3 linked regions of the Struthio camelus genome follow. The protein of the gene in region 2 interacts with the protein of the main gene of each other region in a pairwise test. Links are inferred from orthologs where the notes say so. Each region holds a gene or a part of one and is shown on either strand. Other genes may lie near its edges.

Evidence for each region.
Region 1: the proteins of HDAC4 (region 2) and SFN interact in binary tests that used the Homo sapiens proteins (3 or more experiments, as listed by UniProt). The link is inferred for Struthio camelus from reciprocal best matches to the Homo sapiens genes HDAC4 and SFN.
Region 3: the proteins of HDAC4 (region 2) and CDR2 interact in binary tests that used the Homo sapiens proteins (3 or more experiments, as listed by UniProt). The two-hybrid records come from large-scale screens. The link is inferred for Struthio camelus from reciprocal best matches to the Homo sapiens genes HDAC4 and CDR2.

Annotation. Positions count from the first base shown.
Region 1 is NC_090964.1:6,831,292-6,837,408, reverse strand, and holds SFN (14-3-3 protein sigma), read left to right. Parts: upstream 1-4,220; 5' UTR 4,221-4,398; coding exon 4,399-5,139; 3' UTR 5,140-5,228; downstream 5,229-6,117. UniProt on the Homo sapiens protein: Adapter protein implicated in the regulation of a large spectrum of both general and specialized signaling pathways. Binds to a large number of partners, usually by recognition of a phosphoserine or phosphothreonine motif.
Region 2 is NC_090947.1:2,715,164-2,723,068, forward strand, and holds the start of HDAC4 (histone deacetylase 4), read right to left. Parts: upstream 3,204-7,905; 5' UTR 3,112-3,203; coding exon 2,925-3,111; intron 1-2,924. UniProt on the Homo sapiens protein: Responsible for the deacetylation of lysine residues on the N-terminal part of the core histones (H2A, H2B, H3 and H4).
Region 3 is NC_090956.1:9,339,406-9,347,247, forward strand, and holds the start of CDR2 (cerebellar degeneration-related protein 2), read left to right. Parts: upstream 1-4,465; coding exon 4,466-4,928; intron 4,929-7,842. Other genes in the region: transmembrane protein 180-like, read right to left, coding at 1-159, 918-1,070.

The sequences.
Region 1 (6,117 bases), on a different chromosome or scaffold from region 2:
GAGCCAAGAACTCCCTAAACTCGGCTTTGGCGCTAACTGTGGCCTTAAGGCAACTCTCAGCCTTCCAGAGCTTTGCGCCCTCCTGCAAAGGGGAAAGGGCGCATGCCTCGCTCCGAGGACCGGGAGAAGGAGCATGGGCAGCGCCCGGAGTCCGCTGGGCACCCCAGCACCCCTCCGCTTTTGTCACAGCAGCCTTTGGCCAAACTCGCCCCCCTCTGAAGGGCTGGGAGGACTCGAGAACGGGCAGGTTCTCCGCAGCCCTGGGAGCAGCTGGGCTGTTGAACGTCCTCCCAGCGCCCCCGGGGATGGTCACAAGCGTCTCGCTCGCTGCGTGCAATGACGGAGCTGCTCGGGAGCCCAGCCCCAGCTTGCCTGGAGCATCGCGGGGCGCAGCAGGGAGGAGACGCGTAGTGGCCCTCGGTAGCGTTTCCTGGGGGTTGAGTCCTTCGCCGGCCCCTTGCTGGCGAGGTGCACGTTGCAGCACGCTCTCCCACGCTCGGAGGTGCTTTCCGGGGTGAACTCAGCGCGCTAATGCTAGAGCTGAGCTGGCCCTGCAGCCTTTGCCTGAGTGGCGCACATGGATCCGGGGCTCTTCCCTTCACCCAGCCTCTTATTTTTCATGAAACCGGTAGAGCAGAATGTTTTTGCAGCCTCTTAGCCAATTTCAACCCGCTCTGGCAGCCGTTCAGCTCCTGTTGGCAGGGGCTAACGAGACACCGGAGCTACTGCTGAGCCATTGGCTGCCTGGTACCAGCTAGCTGGGCCGGCGGGGGCCGGGGGTCGCTCTGAGCTGGCCCCTGCGGAGAGGTCCCACTCGGGGCAGAGCCGCCGTGGCTGCATAAATAGCCGAAACGCCAGTGCGGCTGGGAGCCGGGCTGCCGAAGGAGCAGCCCAAGTTTAAGGGCAGCACGCTGAAGCTGGGCTGGGTCCAGAGGCGAGCGCTGACCTTGGGAAAGCGCCGCGGCGTTGGGGAGGTGAGGCCGGGGCTGGCTCCCCCGGCACAGCTGGCTCCCGGCTTGGCACCCGGTTAGACGGGGCCGGGGTGGCCAGGGGGGGATGAACATGGACACTGCAGCTTTAGCGCTGCGAGGGATGTAATCTGCAGGCCTGGAGACGGAGCTGGAGCCTGCGCAGTCTAGATTCCCCCAGGAATCGCTGCCCCGCGTTTTTGCAATGGAAAGCTGCGGCTTTCAGCGTGTTTCGGCGAGGAGGGCTGCAGCGCTCGGCCGGCCGGCCCCCGCGCGGGAGCGCTTTGCGCTCGGCTGCGGACCAGCAGCGCTGGTCTCCAAGGGTTTCTAGGGGTCTCGCGCGTCTCCGGAGCGGGGCGGCTGCTGGCTGGCTCCGCACCGAGCCCCGCGGCTGCCTTCCCCTCCGCAGCTCGCCTCCGAGCGAGCAGGCCGGAAACGCGCTCGCTTAAAGCCAAATTGCCGCCTTCTTTCCGAAAGTGCCCTCGCATGCTTTAGGGCCGTGTAGTCTACTCCCACGGTGGATTACACTAATCTGGGGCGGGATCCTTAATTGCCTGCCGAGGCCCTGCACAGGGCGCTGCTTGGGGCTAGCCGAAAAAAGCAGCCGCGGGAAGGTGTCGGGGCCGCGGGAAGGTGTTGGGACCGCGAGAAGGTGCTGGGACCACGGGAGGATGTTGGGGCCACGGGAAAATGTCGGGGCTGTGGGAAGGTGTCGGGGATGCGGGAAGGCATCGAGGCTGCAGGAATGGGGTTGGGCTGCAGGAAGGTGCTGGGCTGCAGGAAGGTGTTGAGGCCGCAGGAAGGTGCTGGGACCATGGGAAGGTGTCGGGGCTGCAGGAAGGCGTCGGGGCTGTGGGAAGGTGCTGGGACCATGGGAAGGTGCTGGGGCTGCAGGAAGGTGTCGGTGCTGCGGGAAGGTGCTGGGGCTGCGGGAAGGTGCTGGGACCATGAGAAGGTGTCGGGGCCGCGGGAAGGTGCTGGGGCTGCAGGAAGGTGTCGGGGCCGTGGGAAGGTGCTGGGGCTGCAGGAAGGCGTCGAGGCCACGGGAAGGTGCTGGGGCTGCAGGAAGGTGTCGAGGCCACGGGAAGGTGCTGGGGCTGCAGGAAGGTGTCGAGGCCACGGGAAGGTGCTGGGGCTGCAGGAAGGTGTCGAGGCCACGGGAAGGTGCTGGGGCTGCAGGAAGGTGTCGAGGCCACGGGAAGGTGCTGGGGCTGCAGGAAGGTGTCGGAGCTGCGGGAAGGTGTTGGGGCTGCGGGAAGGTGTCGGAGCTGCGGGAAGGTGTTGGGGCTGCGGGAAGGTGTCGGAGCTGCGGGAAGGTGTTGGGGCTGCGGGAAGGTGCTGGGCTGCGGGAAGGTGTTGGGGCTGCGGGAAGGCGTCGGGGCTGCAGGAAGGTGTCGGGGCTGCGGGAAGGTGTCGGAGCTACGGGAAGGTGCTGGGGCTGCAGGAAGGTGTCGGAGCTACGGGAAGGTGCTGGGGCTGCAGGAAGGTGCTGGGGCTGCGGGAAGGTGTCGGGGCTGCGGGAAGGTGTCGGGGCTGCAGGAAGGTGCTGGGGCTGCGGGAAGGTGTCGGAGCTGCGGGAAGGTGCTGGGGCTGCGGGAAGGTGTCGGAGCTGCGGGAAGGTGTCGGAGCTGCAGGAAGGTGTCGGAGCTGCGGGAAGGTGTTGGGGCTGCGGGAAGGCGTCGGGGCTGCAGGAAGGTGTCGGGGCTGCGGGAAGGTGTCGGAGCTACGGGAAGGTGCTGGGGCTGCAGGAAGGTGCTGGGGCTGCGGGAAGGTGTCGGGGCTGCGGGAAGGTGTCGGGGCTGCGGGAAGGTGTCGGGGCTGCAGGAAGGTGTCGGGGCTGCGGGAAGGTGCTGGGACCCCTCCGGCAGGCAGGAACCCAGCAAGGCCAAACCGCCTTCTCCAGGCACCCAGAGACTTATCCAGGCGGAGAGCTCCCGAATGCCGTTGCCCCAGCGGGAAAGGCGGCGGTGGGAAGGGAGCCGGCGATGCCGCCGCCGCAGGGATGCGCTGCACGTGCCCAGCCGGCCGGGGCGGCGCCGGGGGGTGTTTGCAGCCATGAGTAAAGCGGCGGGTGACGCTGATAAAACAGTTGGCCTCGGCCGGGCGCCGCCACCCTGCCCTTCCCGCACGGCTGCCGCACGCGCGGCGGGCAGCCCGGGGGGTGCAGCCGGCTTGGCCGCGCTGCCTCCCGGCGCAGTCAGCGCCCTGCGTGTGGGAACAGGCTTAATCAGCTCCAGAGCGAAACTGCAGCGTAACATGAAGCGCAGATCCTAATCTGGCCGGCGCGTTTCCAAGGGCAGCCAACACCTGGAGCGAGCCGGCGGGTTTTTTTTTTTTTTTTTTCCTAAAGTTAAAAAAAAAAGAATCATTTCCATCGCGTTTGGAAGAGATCGGCAAAGTCCGCGGCGAGCCGTTCGGCCGGCGGCGCCGCGGGGGGAATCGCAGCGAGGGGGGTGGAGGGGCCCCCGCTGGCCGGCCGGGAGCGGGCGAGAGGCCGAGCCGGGGGCGCCGGGCACCTCGCTCTGGGGGCCCGCCGAAGCCCCAAAACGCCCAGAGTCGTCCCCAAAAGTGCAGCCTCCCGTCGCTCTTCCTCGACCGTCCTGTTTCGAGTTATGGGGTGTTTTTTCGGTTGGGTCCGTCTGGCTGCTGGCAGCCGGCAGCCTGGTAGTTCAACGAAACGAGCTGATTTCACCTTAATTTGGGGGCGGCGGCGGGGGGGGGGGGGTGAGATGGGAGCCGGGAGCGCCGGCCGGGGCTCAGGCAAGCGGCTCAGCCCCGGCTCCGTTTCCCACCTGCCCGGCGAGCCGCGGCGATTCCCAGCCACCGGCGAAAACCGGCACTGATTCGTTGATAGGCTTTTGGGGTGGGCGGCGGGGGAGGAAGCCCCCCCCAACCCCTTTTCCACCCTCTCTGCCCCCCCGGCCCGTTTCCCGCGCCGGCCGGGCGGCGGGAGCCGAGCGCGCCCTGCAGCTCCTGCTGCCGCCCGGCAGCGCCCGGGTGCACCGTTCTGGGGCTTTTTCAAATTTAATTTAAAATTTTTTTTTAATTTGGTCCGCCGCCAGCGGTGGGCCCAGGGCCGGGCCGCCCCGGGGCGAGGGCCGGGCGCGGGGCCGCCCCGCTCGCCCCCCCCCCTTCCCCGGCGCCCCCTTTTTTGCCCGGCGGGGCGATGAATCACGGCAATTTTGCCTCGCAAGGGGCGGCGCGGCGGGGACGGGGACGGGGACGCGGGGAAGGAGGCTGCGCGCGGCCTCCTGGCTCCTCCCGCTCTTGCTCCAGGCTCCGACGCCCGGCCAAAAGCGAATCCCGGCGGCGGCGCTCGGCAGAGGCTCCGACGGCTCCCCAAGGCGACCGGCCCGCTCCTCGCCGCTCCGTCTCCCCCCGCGCCGCCGCTCGCCCGTCCACCCGCGTCCCCCCTTCCCCGCCGCCAGCCATGGCAAGAAACCACCAAGTGCAGAAAGCCAAGCTGGCCGAGCAGGCCGAGCGCTACGAGGACATGGCGGACTTCATGAAGGCCGTGGTGGAGCACGGGGACGAGCTGTCCAACGAGGAGCGCAACCTGCTCTCCGTGGCCTACAAGAACGTGGTGGGGTGCCAGCGCTCCGCCTGGAGGGTCATCTCCAGCATCGAGCACAAAACCGAGGAGGGCGACGACAAAGCGCAGCTGGTGAACGAGTACCGTGAGAAGGTGGAAAAGGAGCTGAAGAGCGTCTGCAACGTCGTCCTGGGCCTGCTGGACAAGTATCTCATCAAGAAGGCCAGCGACGCGGAGAGCAAGGTCTTCTACCTGAAGATGAAGGGAGACTACTTCCGCTACCTGGCCGAGGTGGCCACCGGGGATGACCGCAAGGAGACGATAGACAGTGCCCAGAAAGCCTACCAAGAGGCCATGGACATCAGCAAAAAGGAGATGCAGCCCACGAACCCCATCCGCCTGGGGCTGGCCCTCAACTTCTCCGTCTTCCACTACGAGATCGCCAACGCCCCCGAGCAGGCCATCTCGCTGGCCAAGACCACCTTCGACGAGGCCATGGGGGACCTGCACACGCTCAGCGAAGACTCCTACAAGGACAGCACCCTCATCATGCAGCTGCTCAGGGACAACCTCACGTTATGGACAGCCGAGTGCGCCGGCGAAGACGGCGGCGAGGCCGGCGAAGAGCCCAAGAACTGAGCGACCGCCCCGGGGAGCCGCCGCCGGCTCCCACCTCCTCCCTCCCCACCTTGTTCTCTGTTCTTCCGTCTTCTGCCTCTTTTTTTTTTTTTTTTTTTTTTTGGGGGGGGGTAAGGCATCTCGGCTCCCCGTCCCTCCTCCCCGGCAGCCCCCCCCCCCCCAAAACCGCCTCCCGCATCCCCCCGGCACCGCGTCCCGGGGCGGAGGGGGGAACAAGCGGCAGAGCGGGGCGGGATGCCCACGGGCTCCCGGCGGCTCCGGGGAGCGGGGGGGCGCGGGGCGGCCCTGTCCTTCGCTTGCTGGCGTGCCTTGCTCTGCGGCTTCCCCTTCGCAGCGGGAGGAGGTGACGGGCCGTGGGGGGGGGGGGGGGGCGAGGGGGGGGGCCGAAGCCTCGGTGCATCCCCAATAAAACTTCACCTGCACGCCTGCCTCTGTGCTCTGCGTCGTCGCTGCCCCCCGCCGGGCCCCGGGGCGAGGAGGAGGAGGAGGAGGAGGAGGAAGGACAAGTTGGAGCGGGGCAGGTTCCCACGCAGCCGGCACCCGGGGAAGTAAAGGGGCATCCCGGAGTGGGACGGCGGTGACGGGGGGGGGGGGACACCAGTGGTGGTGACCCCAGAGTGGGCTGCAGTGATTCATGCCCCAACCCCACTGCAGCCTTCCCGCACGGCCCAGGCAGCGTTTCCCAGCGCCTCCTTCCCCCCCCCCGCCTTTATTTCCCCCCCCCTCCCGGAGCCGGCGAGGTGCCGGCCGCGGTGGGAGGGGGGGGCCGAAGCCCGGCAGGTCTCGCTCGCCCTGGCGCCCGGCCACGGCCTGCCCCGGCGCAGGGCGCAGCGCCCCGGAGCAGCGCGAGTCTCGACACGAGCAGCAATTAGGGGCGAAGGCGGCCTCGCCGCCCAGGGCGCCGCGCTCGCCCGCTGCCGCCTTTGATGGGGAAAGCCGGCGGGAGCCTCCCTGTGACTCAGCCGGCAGCACCCTGCT
Region 2 (7,905 bases):
GCATGGCTTGGGGAATGCTGTTTGTGCAGAGATTTTAAAAAGCAAGACAAGTTTGTTTAAGGGATGCATGTCAAGCTAAAATGTTTGCTATTTGCAGCTGTCCCCTGTAAAACTGGTGGAAAGGGAACTGGGTATCACAAAACATACTAGTGCAGGCAGAGTGGCCTAAAACTGTTTTACTTTTTCAAATGTTTACACTGGCCATTTTTTAGCAGAGAAAAGATATAATGTCATCCGAGATGTATTTTCTGGTATTTATTTTGAATTAGTGCTCTTTCCAGGATATAAATGAAGGCTTGAACAAAAAAAAAAAGTTTAACACAGTTGAAGAATACACTTTAAAAATAGTTCTCTTAAACAGAGCCTATCTGAACCGTGCTTCTCAGTTCCCTCAACACAGTTTTCCAGATGAGACTGGCATCCTGCTACACATACACATAGTTTCTTTGTACATTAAAAAAAAAAAAGTCTAAAAGCACCTTTCCAAACCAAAAGGCAGCCCAAGAGCTTACTCGCAATATTTAGGTACTGGCAACAAGAGAAGTTTACAGGCTTTACATGCATGCCACAGAACAACTCAAGGTTTGGGGGATCTGGTTTTTGAGTGTTTCGTTTTGTTTTCCTGGCATGAAGGCGGTGGGAACGGGCTTGTTTAGAAACAAACGGTTCTAATGACAAGTAGGGAAAAAAAAGCTGTCTTGTTCATTTAGAAAGGTTCTCCTTTCTAGCTGAGATTCGCTTCTTTTTAAATCCTGCACAGTGATAGCTACCTGCCCCTCTCCCAAGTACCTGTCTTCTTTGGAAAGGGCTCAAATTTATGGGGAAAGAAGAAAAAGAAAGAAAGAAAGTACAGCAAAGTACAGCACACACAAACTAATGTGGTTGGAGGTTTTATTGACACTTGTTTGCAATGACCAGGATAGCTCTTACAGCTTTACCACTTGTGAATAATGCAGACTTTTAAAGACGAAAGTCAATAAAACATTTATGTGACATAAATACGTAAAGTATATTCAAAAGGGAGGTGGGTTTTTTCTTTTTTCTTTTTCTTTTCTTTTTTTTTTACCCCTTAACTAACACTAAGAATTGGCAAGAACTTGTTAAGCAGCAAGGACAGAACTACATAATTTATTGCCAAGTGCGATATCTAATAGTAACAAACAAAATGACAGATGAGAGAGATACCAGTACAAGGAGCCATGCTCACACCTCTGCATGAGTTCCAAACGGATAATTTAGGATTATCAAATCAGAGGTATGGATTTTTTTTTTTTTTTGTAATTTAAAGCAACAATGGTGTTTGAAATCAAAACCCCTAACAGATTTTGCTTGAGCTCTTCTCTCCGACCTTAGGGAACCTCTGCTTTAGAAACACTTCAAACATGAAAAAGAAATACAGGAAGGAGTAAGAAATGATGATTAGGAGAAGAAAAGTTGTTTGTGCTAACTTGCCATTGGGGAGGGAAGTTGTCAGAACAGATGATCCCACAGCACAGCAAACACCAACCTAGGACTCCCCTGTCCAACATCTCCAGTGAGAACGCTCCTGTAAGACCTTCCCAAATCCCAGCTGCGGTGTAAAGAAAATGGTCCAATTTACTGGAAGGAAGCAAAGGCACATCTATTTTAGAGTCCTTGACATGGTCATCAATATCTTTACCTGGCTGTAAAAAGGTTATCATGAAAGTAGAGCTCACAGTATGACCCGGGAAAAAAAAAGAAAGCTTTATTGCCTGTAAAATGAGTCACTAGACTAAGAGGAAAAATAGGACAAAGCAACTGAAAAAACAGGTATCACTACACATACTGTGGTTCAAGGCTGCAACACCTCAACTCTTCTGTACTTTGTGTAGCTGAAACTTAGCACCGGTTTGTTTGGGTTTTTTTGCACGACCGTCAACAGTCTTGCCTTTGGTAAAGAAAAGCGAGCCGCTTAAACATAGCAAGTATTGTGACTGCCATGCCAATATGCATCTTTAGAGCTGACTCCAAGCGTGTTTCTTACACATGCAGCTTTAATCAGAACTGAAACAATCACTAACTCGGAATGTTTCGCATAAATCTGATAAGCATTTTCTACAAGCACAAAACGTTTTAGTCTCTACAAGACATCTAGAAGACTGCTGCCTGGTAACTCATTCATAGTGCTTGAATACTAATTTGGCAGTTAGGGGAAGAAAGGAGAGGGGAGGTGTTATGATTTTATACATGAAATTAGTAGTAGTAGTAGCAATGAACAGGGGCAGAGAGATTATCATGACACTTTCTTTTCACTGCTATGGGAACTGCTTTGACTTAACCGAGCAGCTTCACGTTTCCGTGCTTACACCAAAAGAACACAAAGGCAATTCGGTTTACACTTCTTGGAAGACAATGCTGTTCAGCATTACCACTATTTATAGCATGAAACAGTTCAAGGTGCATGTTGTTGCAGACAACTGAACGGCTTGTTTTCATGGTAATTGATCTATACAGCACGGGATTATATAAACAGTTGTTCCTTGCTCATTCCCACTCCATTAGCATCTCCCATGATAAAAATGTACTTGTCAATACAGCAGCTGCTATCAAACAGCAAAAATGCTAGCAGCTGCAAGGTCTTTAACTTGAAACTCTAGGTGAGTTTTGTAAAGATGTTCAGAAAATACAGCTGCTGAAGCTTTTGCATGCAGCTGTATACAGCCAGAAGAACAGCATGCTAATCTGTTTCCATGCTATTCTTCTGCAGTTTAAAGAACATAAAGCCACTTTTCTCAATTTCACTAACTATAAATCCCGGCTTAAGCATATCTGCACTAGTCTTTTTGAATTTTCTTACTGAAAACAGAATCTGCATACCAAGTTTGCAAAAAGGACAGTCCACTTCCTGTAAATGTATTACTTCTACTTCATTGGGTTATTATTTCCCGAAAACGTATCCTTACCTTTCTGCATCCCTGCAGAGAAGATACAACTATGTTGTGCCATGGAAGCAAATGCAGCGTGCCCAAAATTAACCACCGCTCTCTTTTCAACACTGTAGGATTCTAACATATCGCTTTGAAGGGTGGCAAACAGATCGGCCTCAAACAGTCTAGTACCGGACCAATCCGTGAATGTCAGAAGAAGCATTTTGCTTTTTGAGACGGTGGAAAATTCATGCTTGCAGTTGGAAGCTGGAGCCCCGCTTGAGACCGAACGTTCTTGCAGCGATCACTGCTCAGGTCGGGAGCACCAGAAATACAGGCTGACTACCGGGAAGAGATCAAGGGGTGAGGTGGTCAAAGGTCCATGGCAAACCACATGCGTTGTACAGCACTATTTCATATGCGGTGCCGTCAGAAGTATGCCTCGTTCGGGGCAAAACTCACCTTCATGATTTTATCACCGATCACTGAGGCACAGCACACAAATGAAATGCAGGCAACTGTCTAGCACACAAATGAAATGTAGGCAACTGTCTTCAGAAGAGAGAAAAAAAATCCTTCTGCACTTATTTGTCACTTGAGGCTCACTGAGGAGCAGGGAGCTGCCTCTACCACCACTGCCACCTCCATACCAGGAACAGGGCAGGAAACACATCTCCTGCATACACAGGCAGCCTGACATCCTGCAACGGCCACTGCCACCCGCTACACCACATCACCCTGACTATGGTATCTGAGCAAACAAAGTCTGGGAACCTGCTATAAACAGGTAGAAATGAATCTGTCAAGCTGTTAAAATGAGACACTTATATGTGTGTTTAGCTGGCATCAGCCAGTACACTCCTCATAGGTTTTAAATCAATTAGATTTTCAGAGCTTCACTGGAGCAGGACCCAGCAGCTCCAATATAATTCTACAGTATAAGGAGTGTCCACTACACTAAGATTACTTATCATTTCTCCACTTTAAAATTTAATTACAACTTAAAGAAGAGAACTGAGGCTGGAGTTTAGTTAGCAGATATTCAGAGCTTGGGGCCCTGAAACTCACTTTTCATCCACAATTAGAAGCCGGAGGCAGGGGGAGGGGGGCAGCAGGCACGCAAAGGGGCAATGACACCCATACACTTTGTTTTCCCATTAGTGATTTGCAGTTTAATTTTGCTGGCTGTGCATTGCAAAATCCATGCTTACCTAAACACTGCCTGTTGAGCAATATGGAATATAGATCTGTTGCAACTGAAGCAGAGAGAACCAGTTGATGCAGTCAGAGGACTATCCCGTCTCTTTCGAAGTTCCCTCCTGCTCACTTTATTTCCACAGCCAAGATAACTCAATTCTGCTTTTCAAGACCTCAGAAGAGAAGCATACAAGGTACATACTGCAGAGCGGAGCAGACTGCAATAAATGCAACCACTGGATAGCAGGTTTTCAACACTGGTTGTAACAATTCATTTGTCTACATAGCAGGTTAGCTTTGTGGTCTTTATCACAAAGTGAACACCTGCAGTTAAGCATGGACATGGACGACTGTCCCCTGTAACAAGTTGCTGGGTCTTTGCGCAGCTCAGCTTTCCTGGCTACAGGGTTCCTCAGAGAAAAAGAGATGAAAAAAACATGAACATTGCAGCCTAGCAACCACATTGCAGGAAAGAGTCGTTCCAGAGAAAGGAAGTGAAATTGGCTAAGGCTGGAAGGCCATCCTACAGAGTTTAATTAAATCTCAGCATTCTACTAAAGCACTTGTGATTTCCCAAACTCCAAAAGAACAACCAGAGATACATTTCAAGAGCCTTTTAAGGAATTCACATAAAAGCAGCAGTAAACAAGCAAACGGAAAAGTTAATACTGAGCATTGTTAGAGAAGCCTCATCACTTGAAGTGGAGGCAGTAGCACAATACATTCACCTAACACAAAATTATTTTTGGAAGCTCTCTTGCAATGAATTCAAATATAAACACCTTGAAATATGAGTTTACTCCAAAATGAGCTGTAGAAAGCATGGTTAAATTCCAAGGCCATGCTCCATGGAACAGAACGCAGATCAGAGTTTTAACACCTAAGCCCACCTTCAAGAACATCAGATTTAAACCAAAGTTTCTTTGAACAGAAAAGCTAAGAATGCTGTATTGCAGAGATTGATCACTCAAATATCCACAAATCCAACACAAATTTCATCGATTTTAAATACAGTAACTGAAACTAAGGGCATTATATTTTTCAGGAAAATATGTTCACATCCCTGACATCTTTTGCAGTTCAAAAGATTTCATCCAAACTTTTGTTTTAAAACCTAGAGTGTCCCAACTGACAAGTCAGTATTAAAGCAGCTTGCCTACCTGAACAGAAGTATCTGCAGATCCAGTATTACACCCTCTACACCTGAAAGCCACCACCTTATTCATGTGTGCAGAAAGCTCTTCCACTTCTACATCTCCCAAGTTAATACAGGCTCTACAGATGTATTGCTGCAACCTCCACAGTTTGTGAGAAGTTATTTGCCACTTCATAGCCCAACTCTTAACACTGAGTTGCTGTGAGGCATTTTTTCATTTTACGTTTCAGAAGAGTAACTTCAATTCAATCTATCGCTCTGTCTTATAATAAGCAAAATATTTTCGTGCACAGGAGCCATTCTGATTAACCAGTGTTGTCCTCGCCAACATCACTTCAATCCTTCACCTCCGCTCTGACAAACGGGGCACAGAGACAAGATGCTTTGTTCTGCACAGGAGATACATACAGATATTTGCATATGCATATCCGTAAACATTTAGCAGTAGTAGTAACTCCCATTATATCGTGAAAACTCTATTAGGCACTGATACTGCTTCAGGTTGAACAGATCCTTGTATTCACTGGACAAACAGTTTGCACATACACCAACAAATCATTACATCCCATGCCTTTTTTCCTGCACCGCTCCAATGAGTTCCTGCAGGAAGCTTCCAATTGCTTAAGCAGGAGAGCTCGGCTGCAGAGGAGACAGCCCTGCATTCGTCTACCCTGTGTTCACGTTTGGAAGGCACTCTGTGCATCAATCAGAGCATTTTTTTTTTCCTCCTTAAATGATGAAAGGTTCATTTATTCAGAAACTGGTTCTCTAGCTTACCTGGGAAAGCTTCCCATTCACCACAGGCTAGAGGATTTTTCAAGACATGAATGTCTGTTTTATGAACATCTGCACTCCATGAATACTCAGAGTAAGAAATTTATAAATGCAAGGATTGTGCACACAGGCAATGCATCATATCTGTAAGGAAAAAACATTAGATGCAAGACAGTATAAAAGCCTAAACTAGCATTGGTCAGAGATCAAACTACCTCATCTTCTAATATTCACAGTAGAACATCCCCAGCTACTCTCTCCTTACAACATCTAAACTCATCTCTCTCCAGTACATTCTTCCAACATACATCAGACACACAGTCCAAAAATCATCATATTCCAAGTGTTCCACGGATATGCAAAACAGACTACAGCCCCATTTCATGCAGGTCCTTCTTATCCAGTGTGGAGCAACTAACTATAAGGCAACAAGATCTTTAAGTAGAAGACCTATAGCAGGTGAAGCTACATATCCTGAATAGCTATCTAGAACATAAAGCTGGCCCCAATTCCTTCTTCACTGAGACAAAATGTCCTGCAATGATAATTTCCCTAGCATTCCCCAAAACCTTGCAACAGTTGACTTACCTTCAAAGACCGGGTGAAACACTGGAAATGCTGGATTTTGGGGGAAAGTGATGGGGAAATGTAAGCATGCCAAAAAAGATTTATGTATCAGTCTAACAGGCCAGTGGATTCTTTCAGCTATCTCTTCTTTCCAGGGAAAGACCCCAACGATTTAGAAAACAGAAGCTGCCCCAGAATGAGATGTGAAACAGATCCTCTTGACTCTATGCCACGCTTAAGGTCACAGATAAAGCACACCTTTTCTAGCAGTGGCAGCAAGCTGGAAAATAAGCGTTACTATTTAAAATAAATAAATAAAAATTTTAAAAGAATTACTATAAAAAATCAGATATATAAGCAGCAGGGGAGATGCATGTATTTTACTCAGCAGGCTTCATCTGCTGTGAAATTTGAGGTTTCATTGCAAGCACACTACACACTGTTTGAAACCAGCACCAGCGAAGTTTACTCCTCTACCAGTAGACTTTGTTTACAAAGACATTTAGTATCCTTTGTGCCTCCTGCCAAAGGACAAGGGCCAGGCAGAAGCTATGCACGAGTTAGTGTGATTAATTCCCTAAGTCTGTGCTTCAGTGAATGAGTGGGAGCTAAACAGTTAATTTCACAACGTCAAAAGACAGCAGCAAATTTCATTTCTTCCTGAAGCAAGGAGACATCAGCCACACCCTCCTTTACGGAGCTGAAAAGGCTTGCAGATTTAAACTCACATTTCATTTGAAAACAGGCAAGGGCAACCCGGTCACAGTATAATAAACTAACAAAGTCTGCAAGCCAATTTCATTTGTATCAGCCTTAAACGAAGCCAGTTTCCAGTGGTTTTTGGTTTCTTACTGTTTCTCTGCCAAGATCAAATCAAAAGTTGCTACAAAGATGCTAAGAGCACCCAAAAAAAAAAAAAATTAACGAATATCTTTCTGAGATTCACCACCACTAACGTTGATGTGTTTCCATACCACAGCTCATAAATAAGTAAGCAAAGGACACATATGCAAGTCCAAATAATGTCATCACCGTTCAATTATGCATATAAGAAAGCTTCACCTATCTACAGGATACCTTTTAGCTGCTGCCTATTGACTTAGGCTTTCTGCTAAGGCTATACAGAAGAGGGTAAGAGACCACTAGCCAGAGCTAGAGACTGGCTGCTGCAAAAATTAATGCTCTCCTCTAAGCCTGAGTAGGCAGAACCTGACAGCTCTTAAGTACCCTCTACAAGAGGAAGGAGCTTTAAAAAATTGCCTCACTCAGATCAGCAGCTGGAGTTAACAGCTCCCTTCAATAGCTATCCTCAAAGCAATTTCC
Region 3 (7,842 bases), on a different chromosome or scaffold from region 2:
CTGTTTCCAAGGAAACCAAGGAAGCAAAAAGGCTAACGCATACAAGGGAGCTCCATATAAAATTGAAAACTGACGTCTTGAGCAGCATGCGAATTTGGAGTTGTCTTGAATATACCCAAAAAGAGGATCATTAATGGCATTCCATATCATAAATACCACCTGTGACAACAAGCATGAAAAACAACAGAATTTATCATTAGTGTCATTCTTCTGCAGAGGCTGTGCAAACACACAAGTAATAAACATTGTATTTATGCAAAATAAATCTCTATTCAAAGAATAAAAAGAGAGGGAAGCTTGCCAGGTCAAAATGGACTCAGGAACACATTTCCAAAGGTATTTAGATGTTGACAGTAAACGAGTAGCTTTGAAAAACAAACCGAATAGGCAGGAAGGTGCCCAACTCCAGTTGAGATAAACCCCTGTCTCCAAGACCTCACTCCCTCAAAAGCTTATGTATCTGGGCTTTCATCTCACAAGCTCTTACAGCAAGTAATTTAAAGCATGAGTTGGCCATCATATTCAGGAGATCATTTAGGTGCTCAAGTTGCTCACATGAGTAGGAACTTGCAGAAAAAAAGGCAGTATTTAAGTACTTAAATAGTCCATAGGAAAGCACTGAAGTCGAAGGTCTCCATGAAGCTGAAGTGCAAGATTAGTTTAGAACATTACTTCAAGTTATGAAAGGTAAAAATCTTTCCAGCAATGAAAGTCCAGAGATTTTTTAATTTAAAGACTGTAAACAATGCACTTTAAGTATGCCTTCAATTGCTCATGCATTAACTAAATTTAACATGGAATTTTTGTATAACTATTTGCAATAAACTCAAAAGGAATTCATTAATAAAAATAACTTTGATATGCCAATACAGACACAGAGCACAACACAGAAATCAAAATATTCCGCTGTACAATACCTGTGCTTGATGAAACGCTACTTCTGAAATTTTGTATTGGTTTAGGAAAAGCTTAACGTAGTAGAAATTAAAGATACTGTTCATCATTCCAGCACCTAATGTAGTCATGGAATATGCCAGTGCATTAGGATGAATTCCCCAAACAAACTTCATTTCCAAATTGTGCAAGTCTCTTCTTTCTCTAGTTACAAAAGAAGAATTACAATCGTTGGTAGAAACATTTTCCAAAGCAAAAAGACATGGGAGATTTGCTTGTTTCAGAGAAGCGAAACTAGTGTCTTGGATGAGAATTTCCCCATCCTCAGTCACTTTTTTGTTAAACGCGCAACACATTTTACTGAGGTACGAGACACTGAGCACAAAACTGAACAGGTGTAAAAATTAAGCATGGCATTTCCCAATATAATCAGTCCTTAAAAAACAAAAGAACAAGTAGACAAAATGTCAAGAGCACATAAAGCAACTGGTGCACAGACCCAACACAAAAGTCTGCTACTGCAAGCACTAATCTTGAGGTAGAGTTCAAAGCAACTGCGTACATTTTACATCCTTCCTGCTAGCTACGTAGTTCTACAATTACAAAGAACTGGGTAGGAATGAAGTGACTCAATTCATATTCCTGTGTATTCCATTGTTATGAATGTCAAATTCAGCATGCGCTTAGATGAACATTTATTTTAAAATGAATTCAAAGCTTTGTCTTCCTATTTTCTAATGTTACTAGTTAACAAAAAGGAGCCCAAGTCATGGAAGCAATATTTTCAGCTAATAAACTAATGAAACTTACTTAAAGCAATCAAAATACCTTTTAAGAAACATTTTCGTACTGGAAGAGAACTTGTGTAAATAAAATCCAGAAAGTAACTCATATAGAGTAACACAGGATTTGGAGTATATCCAAATAACAGATTCAGCCCAAGGATATATAGTTCCTTAATATAGCAAACAGATCTTCAGCCAACAATTTTGTAACATGTTGGCTTTTTCCACATATCTAGCATTTAGCTGAAGTATGTTTAGTATAAACCCTCCAATGAAAATAGCTAGAGGTTCTGGAGAACCTCTACCTTTTAAAGCAGAGCAATGAGTACCTTTATGGTCCTTGACCAGATTTGATTCTCTAATCCCAACACGCCAATACTTCTCTTAGATACTCTGTCCTTAACTGAGCCTTTATTCATCTGTATATTTGTTCAAAAGAAACTGTCTGCCATAAATTCGGCTATTACTTCAGGTTCAAATCTCAACCTTAATTAAGGACACTAACTCCGAACTTTGCAGCCCGTGTCCCATCAATGGTCCACACTTCACTCTTGTGCGCTATACTAACAATTTTATCCTAAAAGCTATTTTTCAAATATTCATCAAAATACACGGTTTGAATATTTGATTGTTCAGCTTGATAAACAAATCTATTAGCAATTCCTTGAACTCCTCATAAAATGATCATGAAAGAAACAGGAAATGAAAAGCACGGCTGTTTCGAACCTTCCTGCTGCCTGTGGTTCACCAAGTGGCTGAAGACAGGCTGCTGTGAGGAAAACAGTAAATTCTTCATCACCAGGTGAGGGCCAGGCAACAGACAAAGCAGGGGACTGGAAAATTGTCTATTCTGGCTAAGGCAGAATATGGAACAGCAGTTCTTCCATTCCCTCCAACACAGAAAGTGAGGTATTTTAAGAGCGGTAAAACGAGGGTGTATTTTTGTACCTCTATTTAAGATGCTCAACTATGAAACAATAAGCAAAGAGGAAATAACTCCTCTTTACAAGTAAGGAAAAAAAATCAAGCTGAAAAACAACTTGATCAAAGTTTTTTTTTTTCCCTCTAAGGCCAACCTTTTCTTTTTTTTTTTTTTTAAGCACATGACTGAATTTGTATATACTTGAGAATGACAGTGATATATGTTTTCAAAGTTATTTTTCATGGAGCTATGGCTATAGCAGTATTTCCATGTCCAAGGGATGAAATTTTGCATTTTTGTAACAAGTTCTGTTTCATAAACTATTACCGAGAAACCTAAAATGGAAAATAAGGTTATTGAAACGATCCCCATTTAAAATGTTTATTTTAGAAGTATAATACTATAAATTGTGAGCGTCATTATAGAAGCGTGCTACTGACAAGCGCCGCATTTTAAAATGAAGGGCGTATTCAAGCCTTCACAACTACACTTAATGTAGTATTTAAGTAGCAGATTGGTGTAGCAGATACTAGGGCACTTGGAAAAGTAGGCATTTCGCACGTATTTCCTTGTGCAAGACAGCACGGGTTTCCCAACAGGAATTGTGGGCCCCTCGCCTCCCTCAAATTCCACGAGCACCAAGAAGAAACGTGCTTCGCGCTAGCTTTACCTGCAAACTAGTACTTCAAATTTTTCCTTCTTCCAATCACATTTGACTCAGTTCCTTCCTACACACAGATAAAAAAAAGGTCTCCTCAGCTTCAGAAAATTGTGAAGTAGTATTTCTTTCACAAAATCCTTCTCACAAGGGACAAACAGGCCTCGAGTGCCATGACTAACTGCAACGCACAGGACCTGACACAACGATTTACACTAATTGGCACATCTGGTCCTGTACTTTGTTTATGAAACAGGCTCAATTAGAAGTTGAGGTGCCACACTTCCTCTCCCAACAGACGTGCTCTTTTTAATTGTACAGCCGGGGGATCACGCACGACCATCCCCTCCCTCTTCCCAAGAGCCAGCCTTTATGTTGAACACGCTGAAGAGCAAAGCGCTGACATTCTGTGACTCAGAGAGGGCGAACCAATTTCGGGAATCTCTCACAGAAACCCAGCGCCCGGCGCCAGGAGGAGGGAGCGGGCAGGGCCGCGGGCCTCCGCCGCCCTGCCCCGCCGCGACGCCCTCCCGCAGCCCCGGCCAACGGGCTGCTCACAAACGCCTCCCTCCTCTCTCCTCCGTGACTCGAGCCGCGCTGAAGCAGAGCTAAGGAGAGTCAGGGCTTTCCTCGTCCCCAGCCGAAGGCTGCGGCAGCCGCAGGGGCGCCGCCGCCCTCACAGGCCGCGGGGCTGCACCTGGCCGCCGCGCTCGGAAACCTGCCGGGCTGGAACCGGGGCTGTTTCTCTGTGAAAACCGGGACTTTCCGCTGGGCGGCTTTCCGCTGGGCGGCTCCCTCCCCCTTGCAAGGGCAGGAGGCGCGGGGCGGAGGGCCGTTTGCCGGCGGGACACCCGCTGCAACTGGGGGGGGGGGGGAGAAGGGCATCGCGGGCGCTTCCCACGGCGCGCCCCGGGGACCCCCGTGCGGGGCGACCGGCACCTCCCCTACGCCCGGCCCCGCCCCGCCTGACCCACCCCCGGCCGTGCCAGCCCCGCTCCTCCCGGGACCCCACCCCGGAGAACGCCACAGAGCGCTCCCCCCGCCGTTAACCCCCTCCGCGGCGGCGGCGCCGCCGCCGCCCCTTCCACAGGGTCTAACCGACCTCCTCCGACGGGAGGCTGCGTAGCCCGCTCCCGGGGCGGGGCATCATCAACTTAGGCCCACCTCCTCCCCATTCTCACTGGCGGTTCGATCCGTATTCGCCTGATGATTGGCCCACGCTCCTTTCGATCCGCCCGGCGAGCGGCTCCCCATTGGCTGCCCGCGGGGGAGGTCAGGCCGTTCCGTTTGAATCGCGGGGAGGCGGTGGGCGGCCGGCCGGCCGGCCGGCCGGGCGTAGCTGCCACGTTGCTGCCGGCGGCTCCGCGCAGCCCGGCCAGAAGGGGGAGCGGTTCGGCAAAGTCCGGAAACGCTCGGCAATGGCCGGAGGCGGCTTTTAAGGAGCGGCGCGGCGCGGCTGCCGGCTCGCTCTGCCTCGCTCCGCTGTCGCTGGGCGCGAGGGGGCTCGTTAGCGCCAGCGCCGCCGCCCCGCCCTGCCCCGCCTCGTCCCCATCGCCGTCCTCCGGCGGCGCCGGCAGGGGAAGGGGCGCGATGCTGGCCGACAGCCTGGTGGAGGAGTTCGAGATCCGCGAGGATGAGCCCTGGTACGACCAGCAGGACCTGCAGCAAGGTGAGGCGGGCGGCGGCGAGGCGCAGGGCGGCGGCGGGCGCCGACCCCGGCGAGGGGCGGGCGCGGCGGGAAGGGCGTGAGGGGCCGAAGGCGCCGGCGAGGGGCGGCGGCGGGAGCGGAGCTCGAGCCGCCTCGCGGCCGGCGGGAGCGCGGCGTCCCCCGGCGCCCCGGCAGCGGTGAAGCCCGCGGCCGTCTTTGTTCGACGGGGCGGGAGCGCGGCCGCCCCCTTCCCGCCCGCCCGTCCTCCCTCGGCGGCGGGCGCGGCCGGCGGGGCTGCACCGGGCCGGGCCGAGGGGCGCGCCGCGGCACCTGCTGACCGCCGCTGCCCTCGCTTACTTGCCCGTCTCCTACCAAAAATCCTCTTGAGGACGGGGTGGGGGGGGGGGTGGTGGGAAATCCTAAGAAAAGCGCCATTTCGCGTCCGAGCGCCCGGGCGGCGTGCCGCTCCGCCGCGGCGGGAGGAAGGTCGCAGGCAGGCGGCAGGTCCGCTCGGGCTGCGAGTCTGCCACGGACGCCGGGTGCCAGACCCGCAGCTGGGCTTAGCCCTCTTTAGAACTGGTATTTACTTAGTTCTACCTCTTTTTTCCTCTGTATTATTATTATTTTTTTTAAATCCTGAGGTAAGTTGGAGTGGCCAGCTCGGAGCCCTGGCGTGGCTTCCTTCAGACCTGCTCCAGACCTACGCTTTTGGCTCTTGCGCTGAAGTTCAGGCTGATTCTTGGGGTTGGTGGGCGCTATTGTACTCTCAACCATAAAGAAAGATACTTTTTAAAGCTCGCTCCGGTTGAGCAGTTCTCACACTGAGATCAAACAACAGCGGAAACTTCCCGAGACGGGAATAGGTCTCTAATTGTATGTTTTGACTGTAACGTAGCTAACTTTGGAAGCTCTGTTTAGGTGCTCTTTGCTCAAAACTGATGTTTCCCTGGCTATGGTTTATACACCAATTGATTTAAATAAGATTCTGCAACAATAGTTTGCTGCTGAAGGGAAGAGCTGAAAATCTGAAGGTGTGATTTAGCGATGTTTACTATGTCAGTTATTTATTGAGTAGAAAGAAGACCTACGAACAGACTTCAGTGTAATGCATAGTGACTACTTGCCTTATTTACGCTCCTTTAATTCATTTTAATAATAAAGTGAGTGAAATAATCACCATTTGCGCTTGTAAGAGGCAGTATTCCATTCTAGAAGTTCGTCCCTTTTGAGGGTTAGTTAATTAATTTTCTATCAACATTCAGTCTTTTTCTGAGGATTATCTCCTTACAAGCCTAGACGGAAGTGACTAATAGCCTTGCCAAAAGGGAAAGGAGAAAAACGAACTGAAGGGCAAGTTAAAACGCAAAGATGACGACTTAAGGGAATGTCTTTGAAGTGTTCTTTATGCTACGCTCCTGGAGTTTGAAAGATGCTCTTCATCGTGCTGAAAGTACGCAGTACTGACGTCTCTGCACAGAGTAGCAAGAATGCTTATCAAGGTGTCTCTACGCTTTTCACAACTTAATCAGTGCACATTTAAAAACTGAAGAGTATGTTTGTGAGGAAATCTACAGTGTTAAGCATATAAAAGCCACCTCCAAACAAGCCTGTAGTCCCTGTCCGTCTTTGAAATCTAAAATTCGGGGAGGGTTTTGGCCGAACTTTTGACAGTCTTTGTATATGCTGGAAGCTTTTCCCTTGACAATGGGCTTTTCTGGCATTTTGTTCCTGAAAATGGAATACTCCTGGCGTTCTCTAAGGATGGGAACAGCCATCCCTCCTCCTGTAAGGTCATATTTTGCTGCGGTATGCTGACCTTTGAGAAAGAATTCTCTTATGGCTGCTCGTTTACATCTTGCTGTTTTTCACTTTAATATCAACAAAACAGTGGGTTATCTGAACACAGAGTGAGGAATAGCTCAGTAAAATAAGGGCTTACTTCTACACTTAAGTGAACTTCAACAGACTGACTTATGTATCTTACACTACCAATGCCTTCTGCTATTGGAAAGAATAGGATTACTTTGCATTGAGAGTTCTCCGAATCATTTTGTTAGGGGAGTCATGAAAAAGTGGAAGAGAAGCATCTTGGTACTGTTTTAATCTTTCTTTCCCAATTATAGTAACGCTGTCGGTAGAGAATGTGGAGGAGCGTTGATGAATGATGGCTGTTTAACACCATGGGCATATCATCCAAATCTTGTTTTGATTTGGGGATTTCAGATGGAACAGTTGACTACGAGGAGTAGGACTGATTTACTAAAATCAAGCTCTTAAAATTTGCACCTACGTGCAGCACAGAGGCTTTTAAGAATGCAAACTGTATCTTCATGGTGAAGAACAAAGGCACCTGGGTGTCTGTTATGCGACTTCAACACATAGCTGTTAGTTTACTGAAGTTTGCAACAGAAAATGCAGTGTGCTTCTAATATGGTACAGCAACTCTTAGAGAGGTGTAAGTTAACTTTTTCCTTCTGTATCTGGAGAACAGATGATATATTCTATGCCTGACTTTTAAAATTTGCAGTTTCAAAAGAAAAAATGCATCTTGTGCACTCTCCTTGGCAATGCCTAGTTGTGCTATGCTTTAAATGGCCAAATTTCACTCTACGTGAACTCAAAGACTAAACGTAGGCACACAACAATTCTGTGGTTTATTTAAGATCAGAAGAAGCAAATCACTAATTCATACATTAATAGCCTGAGAGTTTAAAAAAAAAAAAAAAACTACTGGACACTTTCAGTTTGCACTGACTTCACTGGGGTATATAGGTACTTAATGTAGAAAAATGAATACAAAGCAAATTCTTCATTTTAGAACAGGTCAGATTGTTTCAGTCCTTGCTTCCTCTAAGGACAGGAGTTCGAGTTTTACTGCATGCTCCTGAGCTCTTTAGCTTGTCTTCTCCCTCTCAGAAACAAATTGCCTTAATTA